3 linked regions of the Ovis aries genome follow. The protein of the gene in region 1 interacts with the protein of each later gene in a pairwise test. Links are inferred from orthologs where the notes say so. Each region holds a gene or a part of one and is shown on either strand. Other genes may lie near its edges.

Region 1 (6,185 bases):
AGGAAAGGCTTCTCAAAGGAGGTGAAAATGTGACCAGGAAGGGACTTCCCCGGTAGTCCAATGGCTAAGGCACTGCACTCCCAATGCAAGGGGTCCAGGTTCAATCCTTGGTCAGGTAACTAGATCCCACATGCTACAGCTAAGACAAGGTGCAGCCTAATTAATTAATTTTTTAAATATACTAAGAAAAAAACACAGCCAGGAATTTCAAGAAAAAAGCAGACCCAACACAGATACTGCCAGTCTCAGTGTTGGGATAGAGAGTAGAGTACAGAGCTGAAACAGGAGAAGAGAAATTTGAGATCTTTCAGAGGGTTTGTTACAATTGGGGCTTGGAAGAACGTAGGAATTACAAAAGGAAAGAACGACATCCTTGGCAGAAAGAACAGCTTGAATAAAATTGGAGAACACTGACTATTTGGTTCTAACTCCTTTTCAATTTAGAGATTAGGGCATTACAGGTGGGGTTTTGACAAATGTGTAGGAGTTGGTTAACTCTGGGCTTCTCTAGGGAAGGTGGGACTGGGGTTTGCAGCACTCACATCAAATATCTGGGGCATCTGGGAAAAATAGAAGTGAGACTGGTCACGGTTGAAGCGCTGTAGTTGGGCTGCATACTCATTTTTGCTTTCTTCTGCCATGTGACTCCGAAGGTGGGCTTGTTGTTTGGCCTGAGGAATATCGAGGTAGGGGAGGGTCATAGCCCAGTTCTGGCCTTGCCGAACCCTGACCCCCAAGCCTGTCTCAGACCCTATAGGCACCTTCTCCACATCAGCCTTGGTGGCGTTGATATCCTGGTCAAGCCTCTCAGCAGTCTGGGCTGCCTTCTCAGCCTCCCGGCAGTCCCGTTCAAATTTACGTTTACTCTGTGTTGGGGACAGAACCGGAATGAAGGAACCACCCGCCACAGTTTCAGGGACTGGGGGGAAGTCACCAGCAACTGGGAGTCAGGGTGGGGACAACAGGCAGCTTGGAAACCCACAGGAGAGGAGGGGTCCAGGCCAGATGAAGTGAATCGACAACCCTCACCCAGCTGCTCGGGGCCAGAGCCTCGCTTCTCCACACCCACAGACTCACATTCTCCAGCTGCTTGAAGCCACTTTCCAGCTGCTGCTGGGCCCGACGACCTTCTTGGAAGTGCTGTGGGAAGAGGGGGCGATAAGGCTCACCCTGATGTCAGGGGACCCTCGGGAAGCCCCAGAGAAGGGGTCACCCACCATCTTTCTCTCCTGTTTCATCTCCTGCGAGTACTTGGCCAGCTCCAGACATACACGCACGCTGAGGTTCTCGGCCACCAGCTCCCGCTGGCCGGCAAAATCATTCACCTCCTGCAGAATCTGCACGAAGGACTGTTGCTGGCTGAACCTGGGGTGGGGTGGAGGGGGGATAAGGGCTGGGGGTCAGGACCCCTGGGAGCCACAAGCCCCCAGACCCACCTCCATATGAAAAAGCGTGAGCCCCAAGACATTCACCCCAGAAGCAACAATAAATTCTGGCCCACACCCTCAACCCTCGAGGGGGACACAGAAACTCAGAATTCTCAAAATTTGGGGAGGTCTTAGAAAGGGGATGCGATGCTTATACCATCTTTTTGCATGACTCTCGTGGTGTCAGTAGCAGCATCATATAATCAAATACTATAAATGCTTTTGCAAGAAGTATTAGTATTCACATAAGTGAGATAAAATCCAAAAGACCCTAATGAACTTAATTAACTTCATGTCAGTTCAGGTCTTGAGATTGCCTCCAAACAAGCGACCAAAAAATCTTTTGCTTTCTAGAGCTCTGGGGGTTTCTGGAACTGGAATAAAGTGAAATGAGCCAGGCATTGTTTTAACACACTATCTTAATCTTCATATGAGCCCCTACAAGGACATCGTCATCCCCAGTTCACAGGAGAGGAAAACCAAGGCTCACAACATGAGTCACTTGCCCAGAGACACTCATTTAATAACTGTGGGAGCCTCTCCCATTTAATAGGTGAGGTAAACGGAGGCTGAGAACTGAAGTCAAGTGGCCAAAGCAGTTCAGCTGGAAAGTAGTGGATTTAGAATTCCAAGCCAGGTAATTCGGTTCCTGCATCCAAGCTCACGCCTCTAGGTGGAACTGGGGTGAGAAGTGAGGGATCTGTTTGCGGGGAGCCCAGCTTGAGAGAGAGAGGAAGTGGGTCCCATACCCTCGGCCCTCCCAAATCTAGCTCTGTATCCATCCGGTGTTCGTTCTTACTTGGATTCAGGGTCATCTTTAGCAGGTCTTTTGGGCATGTATTTTTTCACCAGGCTCCTACGGAGAGAGGCAGGAAGGCTGAGCCCCCAGTCCTCCAACCGCTCCCCCTAACCCTAGGGAGCGGCCACCCTAGGGTCTCACCGCAGTTGCTTTGCATAAGCCTGCTCCACCTCCGTCCGCTCTTTCACGAACTTCACGTATCTGTCCAACAGGTCCAGACCCCACTGCGTGTGCCGCTCGAGCACCTCAAACTGATCCTAGCAGGGGGATTGGGAGGACCAAGGTCAGGACCCAGGGACCCCACAGCCGCCAACCCAGCGGCAGGGGAGCCTCCTGGCTCCGAGCTCCAAGAAGGAGTGGCTTCCCGGCCCCGCCCCGGAGCGGCGCGGGGGGAGGCAGGAAACCGGCGGGAACCCCCTCCCCTTCCCGGGAAGGGCCAGAGAACTGGGGCGGGGCCCCAGCCGGACTACAGGGTCCCCTCTCCCGGCTCCAGGAGGGGTGTGGAATGGGACAAGGCCACTCCCCCTGCCCCGGGTCCCCTAATCCCCCCCAGATTCCGGAAAATCCGGCCGGTCTGCCGTGAGTCAGGGCCAGAGGGGCAGGGTTCCCTGCAGCTTGTGGGGGCCCCAGAATGGTCGGAGCGCGGGCATTAGGTTCCCCCGGTCGCCAGGCTTCCCAGGGTCCCCCAGGGGCGACTCAGTTTTCCTCACTGACTCCACTTTACCTCCAAAAGAAATCCCAGAGTTGGTGTAGGGGGGACGATCTAGTTAACCCAGGGCACCCAGGAACCCAGGAGTGCCACCGCCCCCAGAAAGAGGAGGCGTCAGAGGTTCCGGCTAGGAAAGGGGGAAAAAATTCTGGGGCTTCCAGGGCAGAGGTTCGAGGCGATTGGTGGCGGCCCCTCCCAGTGCCTAAGGAGAGCTGGGGGAGGGGGCTGAGGCCGAGGCTCGCAGCCCCCTCCCCCCTACAGCGTCCCAATTCCCTAATTGTAGATTAGAGGCGACGCGAGGGCGGTTTGGACTTCCAGGTCCCACGTGGGGTTGGAAGTGGCCAGAGGGCCCCCTCCCCCGCCCCAGCCGGACAGGCGGACGGCGGGCAGGGACCCAGGGGCCGTAAGATAAGCCGCCGGCCCAGTCAGGGCGCTCAAAATAGGTGACCTCTCCCGGCTGCTCAGGCCTGGTCCCAGAACTTCTTCTGCCCTCCTCACTATGAACCCCGTACCTCAGTTTCCCTACGCGGCTCCTTAAAGGTCGCCCTCCGCTCCGGGGCGTCCTGAACCGCCCTGGGAAACTCCGCGGAGAGAGGGGATTCCAGGGGTCGGTGGAAGGGAACGCGCAGAGATCCCGCTGGGGTACTGCAGGGGCAAATCGTGGGTCTGGACCCCAGGAAGGGAGGAACTTGGAGTCAAGCGGAACGGACTCACCCACAGTTCGGTGCCCCAATCCATGCTGCTCCCTCCGCGGCCGACGCCTCCACCGCACCCGGTCCCTGCCGCCCGCCGCCGCCGGGAGACTCAGCCCAGGGCCAGGAGCCCGACCCCGCCTCGCTAAGGCCCCGCCCACTCCAAGCTCTGCCACGCCCCGTACACTCTGCCACGCCCCCGCACTCTTGGAGCCCTGGCACGGCCCCCTGAAAGCAAGACCCCCCCTCCAAGGAGGCGGGGCCCAACGGACGCCCCGCCCCTTCTTAAAGGAATGCGCGCCACCCGACGCCACTGGACAGACAGACCCCTTAAAGGACCCCCATCCATTTTCCAAATCCCCTGGGACCCTTTTGTCCACCCCATTCCTGCCCCGCCCTGGACAGTTTTTCTTTTCCTCTTTCCTTTCAATCATTCATTAAAGGGCCAAGACACTAAACCCCAACCCAAGAGGTTTTCCCCCCACTCTGCCGCAGGGAGAACTGAGGTCACCCCGCTCTTGAGGGCCGGCCTGGCTCCAGACGTCTACGTTCGTCCCACTAATGGTCTGGTCCCTCCGGCCACAGGGCGGATGGGAGGACTTCGATCCTGTCCAGGACGCGCCTCCGCCAAGGCCGGGTCCATTAGCGCCCCTACCGCATCCTGCCTCCCTCCCTAAAGTCTGCGCCGGGAAACTGAGGACGGGCTGTCCTTGGGGCGCCAGGCCCAGGCCTTTCCTCAGCTCCCGTACAGTTGGAGCTTGCACCTGCCCATTTCCCAGTCTCATCCATTAAGGTGCAATCAGGTTTAATAGTTTGCACAGACCCTAGTATTCCTACTCCACCACTCCCCCGCTCCTCGAACCCTTGGGCTTGGAAGTCTGTCACCTCTCTCATAAAAGTCAGTTCACACACTGTTAATCCCTTTGAGGCACTGAGATGAAAGGGGCGAGATCCAAGCAGCAACCTCCCCCCACTCCCATCCTCTCCTGCCTTTGGTGCTTTCTCTTTGGTTACAGAGGTGACAGTCGCCCCGCTGGGGCTGAGGGCATTAGACCCCCTGGGACAAGTCAGACTCTGAGCCCCGTCTTCCAGGACACAAGAAGTCACAACACGGCTAGGAGGATAGATAGCTCCAGTAACCCACAATGGGATAGACGGCTCTGCGGGGACCTGGCCCCACCTGCTGGTGGCTTCCGAGTTAGAAAACTTCAAATTGCAAAATAGACGGGTTCCAGAGGTTAAACAGAGACGGAAACGGCAACCCACTCCAGTACTCTTGCCTGGGAAATCCCATGGACAGGGGAGCCTGGCAGGCTACAGTACATAGGGTCACAAAGAGTCGGACATTACTGAGTTACTGAGCATGCATGCCAGAGGTTAGAGGGTCAGATCAAGCCAGAAACTCAGCCTGGGGTCTGGAACTCAGCGGCTCAGCCTGGGAGTTGGAGTCTCAACTGAAATTGGGATTCATCCCAGGTGGGCACCACAACTGGGATGGAACCTGACTAGGATCGGAGGTTTAGGAGAGGGGTGAGCCACTAGTCGAAGGCCTGGGACTCAAATGAAGGACCACAGGTCTGTCTTAATCTGAGGTCAGGGCTCAGTCTTTATCTGAGATCTGTCTAGGTGTAAACTCAGCCAGAGATTAAGGCTCAGTATAGGCTGAGAGTAAAAGGGGAAGGGAGAGCTGCGTTTCAGCTGAGATCAGGACTTAGCTGCAGGTAGGCGCTCAGCCTGGTGTTGCGGTTCAGCCTGAATCAAGATTGTCCTGGGTTCTGGGGATGGGACTCCATCCAGTGGCCTCACTCCAGGATAGAAGCGTCCGCCTAAGCCTGGTAACTCAGTCTGGGATCATAGGTCATTCCAGGGTCATGATTTAGCTTGGGGCCAGGTTTTGGCCTCTCAGTGGATCAGCAAGATTAGGAAAACAAGACAGGCGGCTTCAGCAAATGCAAGTGTTTACCAAAAGCCTGAGCTTTGGCTGGGAGCCACATCCCCAGGGGGAAAGAGGGAAGTCTGTCTTTAGGGATACTGGGAGATGTAGTTTATTGTATGCCCCCATTGAGTTGTTTGCTGCCCCACCCCCTCCAACTTTGCGTTCTGGGTAATGTAGTTCTGAACGGATCTGTCAGTTAAGAGTGGGTGGAGGAACTCCTCTTCAGGGAAGGATATCGGCTCCATCACAATTGGTTGGATGAACTGTTTATCAACTTACATCCGGGACAATCTTTCTAGTGATTGGTGGGTGTGAAGGCGGGGTTAAGCAATATTAGCATTCCCATTTGGGACTGGTGCTGTCCATTTGGTGTCTTACAGGGGGCGGGCACGAGAGGAGGCAATCGGTGATTGGCTGGAAGGGCTCAAAAAGCAGAAGGGTCGGCCCCCACCGTGCGGCGATTGGCTCACTGGTAGGCGGGCCTGGGGGCGTTAGAGGCGGTGTCAAGGGCGGTGGCTCCAGAGATGGCAGTGAGAGAGAGGAGGGGGCTCGGTCGTGGGAGCCCCGCGGAATGGGGGCCGTGGCTACTTCTGCTGCTGCTGTTAGGCGGTTCCTCTGGACG
Region 2 (6,028 bases), on another chromosome or scaffold:
GCAAAAAATAAAAATAAAAACACGTTCTTTTAGACGAGTTTTAGATTCACAGATTTATTGCAAAGATAGTACAGAGTTCCCATATACCCTGTACACTGTTCCCCTGACTACAAACATCTTACGTTAGTACAGTATATTCATCACACTCCATGAACCAATACTGACAATAATGACCATATTCCTTAATTTTCCCCTAATGAACTTTTCCTGTTCTACGATCATATCCAAAACACCACATACGCATTCTGTAGTCATATGCTGTAGATTAATGAAATCCCAGATATTCCAATGAGAGTAGGTTTGAGGTGGGGCCCAAAAATGTGCATTTCTAACAAGTCCCCAAGGGTTGCTGATGCAGCCAATCTGAAAGCTCACTTAGAACAGCAGTGATTGCAGACTCCAGAACCACCACTGTTCAACACAGCAGCCACTGCTAAGAAATGCGCCTACTGAGCATGTAACTTGTGGCTAACCTAAACTGAGGCGTGCTATACGTGTAAAACCCACATGGGAGTCTGAAGCTGTCATACAGACAAAATGATAATAAGATTTACCTCACGGCTTCTTTGACTCTTTCTCAGTTATCATGTGAGTACTAAAAATTACTTGAGAATTACCAAGGTGACTGGCATCACATTTCCACACGACAGCAGTAGTCTGAAGTCCTGGCAGCACTGGTATTACATGGGGTTTAAGAAGTTCAGGTGATGTCCATGTACACTAAAATTTGAGAAGCACTGGACTATCAAGGCAAGGGGTGCTTAGAGAGGTCATGATCTGATAGTTCAGTTCAATTAAAAAACTGGTCAACTGTACACTGAAACTGCAAAATATTAAGTCAATAAAACAAGGAAATGGCTGAATCACTGCAAAGCCATCCAAAAACGAGGATGTGGCACAATTAGAACAGTTAGCAATTAAAGAAACCACAAAGGTAGCGGCCCAACTGGTTCCTCAAAAGAGCATGATTCTGAAGCACAATGATGCTGTGTGGTACCATCCTGCCTTTTCACTTTTGATTCATTCAACGAAACAATGCATATTTGCAAGTACAACTAAAACTATTCTATATAAAAGTTTAATTTCACTCTTCTTTCTCACTACTATAAAACTGTAATGCCCACTTTAGGCAGATTTACCTTAAACTGCTTTTTCCTAGCACCAGTTTTCTCATAGAAGCAAAAATGAGTGTGTGAGTGTGAAAGTCGATCAGTCGTGTCTGACTCTTTGCAACCCTTTGGTCTATACAGTCCATGGAATTCTCCAGGCCAGAATACTGGAGTGGGTAGCCGTTCCCTTCTCCAGGGGATCTTCCCAACCCAGGGATCAAACCCAGGTCTCCCACATTGCAGGCGGACTCTTTACTAGCTGAGCCATCAAAAAAGCTGCTGCTGCTAAGTCGCTTCAGTCGTGTCCGACTCTGTGCGACTCCATAGACAGCAGCCCACCCAGGCTCCCCGTCCCTGGGATTCTCTAGGCAAGAATACTGGAGTGGGTTGCCATTTCCTTCTCCAGTGCATGAAGTGAAAACTGAAAGTGAAGTCGCTCAGTCCTGTCCGACTCCTAGTGACCCCTGGACTGCAGCCCACCAGGCTCCTCCATCCATGGGATTTTCCAGGCAAGAGTGCTGGAGTGGGGTGCCATCAAGGAAGCTACCATTTAGTAATTTTACACAGCATCAGAGTCACTGTCTTAATTAACTTATACTGTTTGTTACCTTTTTTATCCTCAGAATTGTCGACTGCATCATTTGAAGTACTTTACATTCGTAAAACACATTTTCTGTCAACCTAATAAAAAAAAGCACTCAGCAGATACTTTCTTATTAATGAAAGAACCGCCAAATGATTGACTACAAATAATACAGTTTTTCTGCAGTATTTATATATTCTCACTTGTGCCTCACAACAACTAGTGTAGTATGTAAAAAAAAAAGAAAAAAACTAAAGATACATAAAATACTGACTGTATGTGGACAACCCCTCTATACAGATGGCATCACATTAAGAATCAGTGCGTTAGCAATCTTCTCCAACTTCTGTCCTCCATAAAGTAGGAACAGAAGCCTACCACCCCATACTGGGGCATGCACATGCAATATGGTACATCAGGCTTCATTCAACTCATTTTTCCCCAAAAGAGTCCCTTTCCAGACCAGCAGAGCTTCCTGAAACCAGGAGTCACGCCGACATGCCCAGCTCCTCAGGTTCTTCCAGTTGCCCCACTCAGGGTCAAGTCTTTAGAGACTGGTTCAAGCCAAACTCTGCTCAGAAACATTTCCAAGGCATTTTTTAAAACAGAGAGAAAGAGAGAAACACTGGCCCCAGCAGCCAGACCATCTACTCCGACCAAAAGATAACACAAAAGACATCCTGCCCTGTCAGGCACCCTCCTGCGGATCAGGTAAGGAGCACTGGCTATAGATCCACCTCCAGGCCACCGTTTCCCAGCATCTGGGTATGAAAGAGCCGCGGCCAGGAGCTGGACGTTTTTGAGCCACCCTTCACTGTAACATTCAGAGTCTTCCAAGGTCTCACCTTCAGAAGCTGAGAGGGAGAATTTTAATCAGAATCCGGGTGGACTCTTCATTCAAAGTTCCCTCCTTCCTCCCCGTATTCACCTCCCGTTAGGAACACATGCCTAAATGTTCAAAAAAATCTGCCACCGGGGCTTCTCTGGCGGTCTGGTGGATAAGAATCCGCCTTGCAATGCAGGTGACACGGGTTCGATATCTGGTCCCAGAAGATCCTACAGGCCGCGGAGCAGCTAAGCCCTTGAGACACAACTACCTGCCCCAACTACTGAAGCCCGCACTCTAGGGCCCAGAGGACACAAGAGAAGCCACAGCAATGAGAAGACCACTCACCACAACGAACGGTTGCCCCTGCTTCCCGCAACTAGAGAACGCCTGCGCACAGCAAATGAAGACACAGCACTGCTCAAAATAACGTAAACAAATCTTTTTTTTAATTACCTCCCATGTCTTAATTAACCATAAAGCAACACGAATGTTACCAGCCTGTCCCGACAACAAATACTTCACTTGGAGACACATCAGAACTTTCATACAGCCACGCTTTGAACATGCTCGCCTTCGCAAGTGCCTGGAAAACGGCGGCTGCCGTCAGAAGGAAAACATCACCACGCCTCGAGAATGACCCTGTGGCCTTTTCGTGTCAAAGGGTCTGCGGTAACTTCAGACGCCACACGTCAAGGACAGTCATCCTTAGAAGACAATACACACATACACACACACACACCCCCGAGAAGAGCGCAGAGGGTTTTCTGAAATTAAAAACGGTGGAGGAGAATTCTCGCAGAAGGGCTAGAAAGAAGCAGATGCCCACTGAGCAGGGGCGGGGCACCTCTAGAAGCTGCAGAAGCCCCCATGCCCAGTCTGGGGGATCAATAGCCTTCGAGCAGCCCCAAGTCGGCTCCTGGGGCTGCTGGGCGGGCGGGGGTTGCACCTCCCGCAGCAGTTGAGGAGCGGGCTCGCCGCCGGCGGGAGGCCAGAAAGGAGGGCGGCACCGCCAGCCTTTTACACACACACACACACACGCACACGCACACGCACAGCCCGCCACCCTCCTTCCTGGGGGCGGGGCGGCGGGCACTGCCCTCTCACAGGAAGTCAGGAAACCCGGGGGGCAGAGGAGCCGCAACTTCCAGCCATTTAAAACCCCGTCGCCCACGTCGCCCGAGCGGCCGGCAGCGGCCCGGCGCCTGGACCCCGCCGGCCGCGCCCCCGGCCGCACCTCGCGCACCCCGGCGTCGCCGCGCGCCCGCACACGCCTCCTCCGGCCCCGCAGCCCCGGCCCCGGGCGCCTTTGTGCAGCGCCGCCCCGACCTGCCCTCCGCCCGGGCTCACTCTCCCTACCAACCTCACCGAGGGCCCGGCGGCTTCGCGGGGTGGGGCGGCTCCCTCCTGGCCCGGCTCGGCGGCGGCGGGGCGCCCAGACGAACCTGAAGGGCGCTCACTCAGCGGCGGCCGCGGCCGGCGCGTCCCCGCAGGCGGCTCTCCCGGGGCGGGTGAGTTCCAGGGCACGTCGGAGCGCGCCGGCGCGGGGGCGGGGCGGGGCGGGGCCACGTGACGGGGCGGGGCGCGGCGCACGTGACCGCCAGGCGGGCGCCGGGGGAGCGGGCGGCGTGGATCCGGGAGGAGGAGGGGAGAGGCGGGGGGAGGGGCCGAGGATCGCCCGGGCGCCCGAGCTGCTCGCCGAGGGAGGGGGGCGGTGGAGCTTTTAAACGCCAAGTGGGGAAAGTTGAGGAGAGGCCGGTGGGGAAAACGAGGGAAGGGCGGAAGGAAAACGGCCCGAGTCCTGGGGTGGCAGGAGTGGGGCCCAGGGGAGAAGGGGGCGTGGGCCCGGCTGTCCCCTTTCTCGTCCGGGTAGGAGCGCAGCCTGGCGAGGGTCAGCCTTTCCGGACCCAGAAATCGGAGAAAGTCCCCTCGCGACCTCACCTGACGGAAGGGAACCCTGGAGACCCTGGTCCACAACCCGGTCCCGGACCTTCGCCGAGACCACCCGGCAGAGTGCGAAAACAGCGCGCACACTCCGCGGGCGGGCGGGCGGCTCCAGGGCGGCTTCTGCCATGTGCAAGCCCCGTGGGGGCCACGATGTCATTGCCCAAAGTCACCCCAGCTTGCAGGATGACAGCACGGAATCCAAAAATTGGAGGCATAACAGCTTTCTCTGGGGAGCCTGTGGCGGGAGTTCTGCGGAACTGGGAATCGGGAGAGAGACCTGGCTTCTGCCATTGTCGCTTCGCCCTTCTCGACCTCAGCTGTGAAAGGAGCATGTTGACGAGCCCAAAGCCTCTTTCTATGATTCAAGGACAGAAAAATCACTGCTATGTATTCGGACTGCAGAAAACATTCGTTACTAACCAGTGGTTGATTGTGTCTGTTACGGCGCAGAGATGAAATTTCAATAAAACAAGCAAAAGAAAAAAGGTCAGGGTATGATTCAAGAGCCAGTCTCTGGAACTGGCTCTTTTGTGTTCTTCACATCATGCTTGAAGATGCTGTTGTGTCTGATTTCCCCGTCACAAACTGAACTCCCAGTTATCCTGTAGTGACTGCAAAGAACCCAATGGGATATTGGCAAGACTTTAACAACTGTAGGTTACTGACTTATTATAAAATTAAATCTTAATGGGGGAGCTAAAGTTTTAAGATCTTCTTTTAGGAAGAAAAGGATTTCCTGGAGGTCCAGTGGTTAAGACTCAGCAATCCCTGATCGGGGAACTAAGATCCCACATGCCTGCAGCACAGCCAAGAAAGGAAAAAGAAAGAAAACATGCACAAGCCTGAGGCCATACTTTCTCTGACCATCCACTGGACGATACACCCACTTTCCTTGGCATCACTTGGCCTTTCTGTCTCCCTCACTTTCTAACAAGTAACATTTTGCATGCCCTTGTTCGGCAGACAAGAGTACTGCTGGTGTATGCTTCTGACACTGTTTTCCATAAAACCTCTGGGATCTCTTTATAGAACCAAAACAGGGACAGACAGCAAAAGGGAAACTGTGCCCTGATGGGCATGTGCTGATAACCTTATCTTCCGTGTTTCCCAAGCCTGAGTTGGACACCCGTGGTTTCAGCTTCGGATAGAACTAAACAGTTTGCACACACTTGCTGATCTGCACATAACTCCACTTCCTATTTCACAACCTAGTCTCAGATGCTAACACAATGCCCACAGTATGCTGATCACTACCAACAGCAGATGGAGTCAGATAAAAAGAGCTCTCGCCCAAGTGTGTTGTTTAAAAGGACCTGATGGAAAGCTATGAAATCATATGCAACATTGCCTCTAGTCAGTTTTAAATAACACTGGTAGCATATGTCTGGTGCCTGTGCCCAGGATCACAACAGATCATTTTCAGGATATTGACATTTAACTTGTGTCTTAAGAAGTAGCACAGAGTTCCAAAATGTACGCTTCACAGTGGCAGAGATTTGAGTCTTGATTTGTGTAGGTAGGTAGTTCCAAAAGCCTAAAAGCACTTGGCGTGCAGTAGATGCA
Region 3 (6,086 bases), on another chromosome or scaffold:
TTTAGATGGGCATTTACTCCACACTCATTTCCAGGGAGAAGCAGGGGACACAGTCAGAAGCACGGAGTCAATTGTGGGCCTTGGAGACAGTGACTGGGAGAAAGGTTTTTCCATCCTTCTGGGACTGGAACTGAGGACGATGGAGGGTGGGGGTGGGGAGGGGTCTTTCTGTGGACCCAGCTTGTCCGGAGAGTGATCCAGCCCAGCCTGAAGCCAGACTCCTTTTGGATATTTTTTGGTCACATATAAGCCAATTAATTCCCATCTTCACTTATGGCAGCTTGAAATGGGTTTTCATACTACCAAGGGCTGCTGCTGCTGCTAAGTAGCTTCAGTTGTGTCCGACTCTGTGCTACCCCAGAGACGGCAGCCCACCAGACTCCCCTGTCCCTGAGATTCTCCAGGCAAGAAGGAGTGGGTTGCCACTGCCTTCTCCAATGCATGAAAGTGAAAAGTGAAAGTGAAGTTGCTCAGTTGTGTCCCACTCCTAGCGACGCCATGGACTGCAGCCCACCAGGCTCCTCATTAATACAAAAGAAATCTGAAAGTGCTTGAAGATGAAAACAAAGCCAAAAGGCTTTGCCCAAGCTTTCTTCTGTTTTCTGTTACCTTCCCCCATCCAATAAGAACCAGCATTAGCCAGCCCTCTGAAAGCACGTATCTCAGGGTAACAATTATTTCTTTGCTTGCCTATCTCTTCCACAAAAGTATTGAGCTCCTTCAGGGCAGAAACAGGGAGGCAGAAATAGACTCCAATACCTCACATACTCACACACAGTTTGGGCCCAACAATTGTTAAATAGATGAATGAACAAAAGGCAGAGAGCACAAAAGAACCATCCTCATTGTCTCCTTTGGGACACCCACCTCAGGAGACCACCTCATTTGAACCACCTTCTGAAACAGACTCATCCATCCATTACAAACAAATTGCATCATGAGAACTCACTCCTTCCAGCCATTACTAATTCTCCCACATGTCGGTCCCATGGAACCTCACTATGGGGTTACTCACAAGGTCCTCATTCTGCAAAGAGAATATTTCATCGCATGACACCACCTAGAACTACAAACTGACAGTACACACTGTGGGCAAGTCATTCACACATACAACTTCATTCTTTAGTGAGTGTGTGTGTTTTAGCCTTTGTTTTGACCCCAATACATCCAGAAGCCTGGTTCTGATATCCACTAACTAGCTGCTTCTGCCCAATAACAATTTCAGGCTCTCTCCTGCCTCCTCCATCTTTCCTCCCTAGTCCTTTACAATTACTTAAGTTGGGGGCGGGGGTGGGGGAGACAAACATATATAGGAAATCAACAACAGTAAAGCAACAGGTTCCCCAGTAAAAACTGTTTTGACTTTAGGTGCATAATTTCCACACCCTTAATACTACTGTATAGCTGCAGCCTACACTGCATCAAGCAATAAAGATTTTCAGAGCCAAAGGTCAGAGCCAGAATTACAGTCCTAGGGTGAGTCACATCACTCCACTCATTCTATCCAGTTCTCGTTTTCCCATACCACTTGAACAATCTAGTGAGAACTGGATTTACATTCATTTGACAATGTTTATTGAGGATCTGCCAAGTGATAGGAACCACAGAAGATCCTGGGAATCAAAGAAGAAAGGGTAAACATTCTTAAATGTTTAGCGTGATGAAGTAAAGAAGCAATTACATGATGGCGAAACAGGTGCTGTATGGGATTAGGAAAGAGCCAAGGAGGGACATCCAAACTTTGTCCCAGAGAAGGCCTTTTAGAGGCAGAGACCTTTCCAAGGAGACCTGAGGAACAAGTGGGAGGTGACCTAGGGCAGGTGTGGTAAAAGAGATTTCTTTGTGATAGTTCCAAGTAGAGGCTAATACGTAAGAAAAGTATAGCCTCCACTGAAAACTGAAAGTAGACAAGACGGTTAGAATTTAAAAGTATAAAAAGAGAAGCTGCGACAGAGGAAGCAGGGGCCAAAGACACCCTGAACAGTTTCCCTGAACCAACTTTGCAGCTTTTAAAGCCTCAGAACTTTGTTTAAAAAAAAAAAAATCACTTGCTTGATACAATGTATGAACAGGCCAAATGACTCTGGGACAAATGCATCTTGACACTCACTAAATATTGATTCCCTGATGCATGTTCCTGAGAACACTAAGAGGGGTAGAAAATTCACAGAATTATCTTGTAATTCATTCCCAGATTCTTGACTGAAACATGAGCCATCACCAATACTCTCTCCTGGTAGCTTAGCCATGAAGAATTCACCTGTGATGCAGGAGACTGCCTGCAATGCAGGAGACATGGAAGACTCCCCCAGAGAAGGAAATGGCACCCCACTCCAGTACCCTTGCCTGGAAAATCCCATGGACGGAGAAGCGTGGTAGGCTACAGTCCATGGGGTTGCAAAGAGTTGGACACGAATGAGCCACTTCACTTTCCAGTATTCCGGCCTGGGAAATCCCATGGACAGAGGAGCCTGGCAGGCTACAGTCCACCGTCGCAAATCCGACACGACATAGCGACTCAACCGCCACCACCACAATACATTGTCAACCTTCCTCTCCACGTTATTTCTATCATTTCCCCACAAATAACAGAAAACAAGGCACATCTAGGCTTTAGCCTAGACAGGAATTAACTCTGGAAAAAGGATAAATGCACCCCAAGCTAACAGGGTGGGGAGCCAAAAAGACCCAAACAACAAAACTAAGCAAAAAAGTTGAGGGAAACGAAACAGTAAAGAGCACATTTAGAAAACTCAAGAGGAAGTAAAAGTATTTTCATACACACACGCAAAAAAGAAGTGTGCCACGTGCTTTGGCCAAACCAAACTCCCCCTTTGACTCAACTGCTGAAAAAAAAAGAAGTCAACGCGGTGAAAAAAGATTCCCGCATTCATCTCTCTTCCCAGAATAAACAGCAAAACCGATACCATACAGCTAACTTGCCCTGGATAGACCTTGAAAAATCTGCCCCAGGTAACACAGCACATGACAGTCATCTTCAGAAGCTCTCAAGACCACAGACCAGTCCTGTCCCAATGGCCGGATCCTCTACTAACTCTGTTCTCTCCTGTCATTTCAGAATCAAGGCTTGCCAAGCAGTCAAGGAATCCCAAAGAAGCAAGGGAGCAGGAGCTGCTTCCAAACCCAAAGTGAGAAAGACTTTTAAAATGATACTTATTTTTAAACTGGGGCTAGGCGTTTCCAGAATCCTTTTCTCCTAATTACCCCCACCCCCCACCCAAGCTTTTTTAAATGTAAGCTGTGCAGTTCATATTCGCTTCTGGTCTAGAGACGGCACCACCTCGCAGCTCCCTCAAAGGGCGTTCTGAAACTCACTAGGCAGATCCGCTGGGCTTATGACCCTTGCTTCTTGACTGCTCGCCCCCACCATCCCCCGCCCCCAGACACTTGCAAGTGAGGTTTTGCAGCAGGGGGGCCACTCGGAAAGGCTGGGAATGCAGCCCCCAAGCCCGGCAGCCTCGGACACACCACTGATCCGAGTTGCAGCCCCAGGCGGCGGCCCGGGGCTGCCAGATCCCGGGGTAGGGAAAGACGAGGGGCAGTTCCAGTCCCAGGAGGGCGATGCTCCGCGGGGCAGTGGGGACCCGAGGGGTAGGAGCGGGAGGCGCGGCCCGCCCGCCCGGTCTCCGGGGGCCAGGCGGCGGCCCAGAGCGGGCCTCCAGGCCGCGGCGTGGCGCAGACCCCGACCCTGGGCCCCGCCGGCCTCGGGCGGAGCCTCAGCCTGGCCCGTAGCGGCGGGGCGCGCGGAAGAAGCCGGTCCGCCCCCGCGACCGCGACCCCCGGCCCGCGCGACCCCCGGCGGCCCGGCGCGGCGCACTCGCCTGCCCACGGTCTGGTTGGCCAGCTGCTTCATGCGGTTGAACTGCTTCTTCATGGCGGCGGCGGCGGCGGCGGCGGCCCGCGGGGCTCCGGCCGGGCAGGACGGGGGACGGCCTGGCGGCTCCTACATCGCTTCCCGGCCGAGGCGCGGCGGCGGCGGCACGGCTCCCCAGGCCTGCGGCCCCGCCCTCGCCGCGTCACTTCCAGCGGCGCCGCCCGCCGGCTCGGCCGGGTCGGGGCGGGCGAGGAGCTCCAGGCCGCAGGCGGCGCGCGGCCAGGCCTCCGCCGCCCGCCTGCCCGGGGGCCGCGTGGTCCCCACGCCTCCAGGTGGTTCCCTGGGCCCGGCGACGCGCGGCCGCCCGGGGCCCCGCGGTCCACCCGGACCTCGGCGTGCTTGTGCTTCCGCTCAGCGAATATTAATATTAAATATTAATATATAACTCACTTCCCAGACTAGATCGCAAACACGCGGTGGGCAAAGCAGACACAAAGAGCGGACACAAAAAGTCACCCTCGGGACTAGACCCCCGGGCAGGGCTCTCGGAGGTGGGGGCGGGGGGAGTGTTGCGCGAAGGGAAACGGGATAGGAGCTTTGGGACGATGGAAACGGTCCAAGTCTTTATCAGGGCCGTGCTTATGCGCGGGTGTAGACGTTTGTCAAAATACAGCAACTTGGATTCTTAAGACGGACGCGTGTCTCTATGTACATGTTACCTCGATTTTTTTTTCAAGAAAAAAAAAAATAGTTGCGTGAAACAAGCTTCAGGACTGTGTGTATGAGATGCCATTTAGTAAAAAAGTCAGAGGCAATTAAATATATTTTATTCCTATTTGAATACTATTACTGTAGTGCTGCTTCTCTTTTATTGATTTAAATCTACCTTGAATGTCACTCCATATCATAAAGAAGAGAAAAAGAGAAAAAGACAGGTGTGCTTTCTATGAACATGCGCTCACCGATGGCGCCGTCAGAGCTGCGGTGATGGTCTCCGGTCCAGGGGACCGGGGTGTTACCGGCCCTGGGAAAATCACGCAAGCAGAGAAGTGCCCGACCCTAGCGCTGGGAAGTTGTGAGGATGAGCAGACGCCCGAGCGGGGACACGTCACAGGAGATAGGTTCTTTGTCAGGTCACAGGCCATGCCTGGGGCTCCGAGGGTTCTATAGAGGGGCCTTCTCAGCCCACGTTGCCTAGAAACTCCTCATTTTTTTCTTAACCTCGAGCTGGTCAGCAGTGAGGCTGTCCGACTCCGCTGGATCCTTTTCGCAGGACAGATCAGGTCAGTTTTACGACCTGTGACAATGTCCTGGTTTGGTGGCCTTGGCTCCAGCTTAGGCCATTCCCTGGGGCAAGTGGGTGGTACTATGGCCTTTTTAACAGACTGTGTTTCTAGTTTCACAAAAGATGTGCTGAGGAAGGGAGCTGAAAAGGTAGAAGAACTCCCTGACTCTGCAAGAGAGGAGGTTGTCGACTTTCAATCAGTCTTAAAATCAGAGATTGAGAGGCTTCGAATTCTTTGTAGCGATCTAGAAGAGAAGTATGAAGCCTCAGAGCTTCAGCTGAAGCAGCAAACTGCTAGCTACAGACATCAGTTACACCAGAAAGACGTAGAAATCAGACTTCTGACAGCAAGACAGGTAGCAATGAAGGATCAGTTGCTAAAGCTGCAGTCAGTCATCCACTCAGTAAATCTTCAGGATAGCTTTCAGCCCTCAACTCCTGCACCCTCTTCACTGGGTTATGATGTCTATCAGCATGCTTTAGCTTTCCAGAATGATGATATGGACTTCGCTGATCTAATTTGGTCACAACAAGAAATAAATAGATTGTCAAATGAAGTTTTAAGACTTGAGGCTGATGTCAGCCATTGGAGACATTGTGCTCAAACTTCTACAGCACATGGAGCAGATAGTTCTAATCTAAAGGAAATCTATAAACTGCAAAATACTATCAAGGAACTTGAACAGACTCGAAATAAGGAAATTGATGACCATCAACTTGAAATGGCAGTACTGCAGGAAATTCATCAGCAGAAACTGGCAGAAATAAGTGGCAGGCATCGAAAACAATTAAAGGATTACGAGGAGATGATTCATGATATGCAAAAAGCCATTCAAGTCCTAGCCACTGAAAAAGTAGCATCTACCAAGAAAACCAAAGGACTTGAGATTAGGGTAAAATACCTTAAAAAAAAATTGTCTTCTGTAGAAAAGGAAATGGATGCTTCAGTTAGAGAACAAGACCAGA

What was found. The genes of interacting proteins can lie anywhere in the genome.
Region 2: the proteins of TRIP10 (region 1) and ARHGAP12 interact in binary tests that used the Homo sapiens proteins (3 or more experiments, as listed by UniProt). The two-hybrid records come from large-scale screens. The link is inferred for Ovis aries from reciprocal best matches to the Homo sapiens genes TRIP10 and ARHGAP12.
Region 3: the proteins of TRIP10 (region 1) and ARHGAP17 interact in binary tests that used the Homo sapiens proteins (3 or more experiments, as listed by UniProt). The link is inferred for Ovis aries from reciprocal best matches to the Homo sapiens genes TRIP10 and ARHGAP17.

What each region holds. Positions count from the first base shown.
Region 1 is NC_056058.1:15,497,242-15,503,426, forward strand, and holds the start of TRIP10 (cdc42-interacting protein 4), read right to left. Parts: upstream 3,753-6,185; 5' UTR 3,674-3,752; coding exon 3,650-3,673; exon of another isoform or gene 3,448-3,649; intron 3,063-3,447; exon of another isoform or gene 2,951-3,062; intron 2,484-2,950; coding exon 2,368-2,483; intron 2,284-2,367; coding exon 2,227-2,283; intron 1,366-2,226; coding exon 1,218-1,365; intron 1,141-1,217; coding exon 1,078-1,140; intron 867-1,077; coding exon 762-866; intron 672-761; coding exon 543-671; intron 1-542. Other genes in the region: protein GPR108, read left to right, coding at 6,088-6,185. UniProt on the Homo sapiens protein: Required for translocation of GLUT4 to the plasma membrane in response to insulin signaling. Required to coordinate membrane tubulation with reorganization of the actin cytoskeleton during endocytosis.
Region 2 is NC_056066.1:32,794,137-32,800,164, reverse strand, and holds the start of ARHGAP12 (rho GTPase-activating protein 12), read right to left. Parts: upstream 4,032-6,028; 5' UTR 3,887-4,031; exon of another isoform or gene 3,882-3,886; intron 3,518-3,881; exon of another isoform or gene 1-3,517. UniProt on the Homo sapiens protein: GTPase activator for the Rho-type GTPases by converting them to an inactive GDP-bound state.
Region 3 is NC_056077.1:23,204,183-23,210,268, forward strand, and holds the start of ARHGAP17 (rho GTPase-activating protein 17), read right to left. Parts: upstream 4,032-6,086; 5' UTR 3,896-4,031; coding exon 3,843-3,895; intron 1-3,842. Other genes in the region: thyroid receptor-interacting protein 11-like, read left to right, coding at 5,141-6,086. UniProt on the Homo sapiens protein: Rho GTPase-activating protein involved in the maintenance of tight junction by regulating the activity of CDC42, thereby playing a central role in apical polarity of epithelial cells.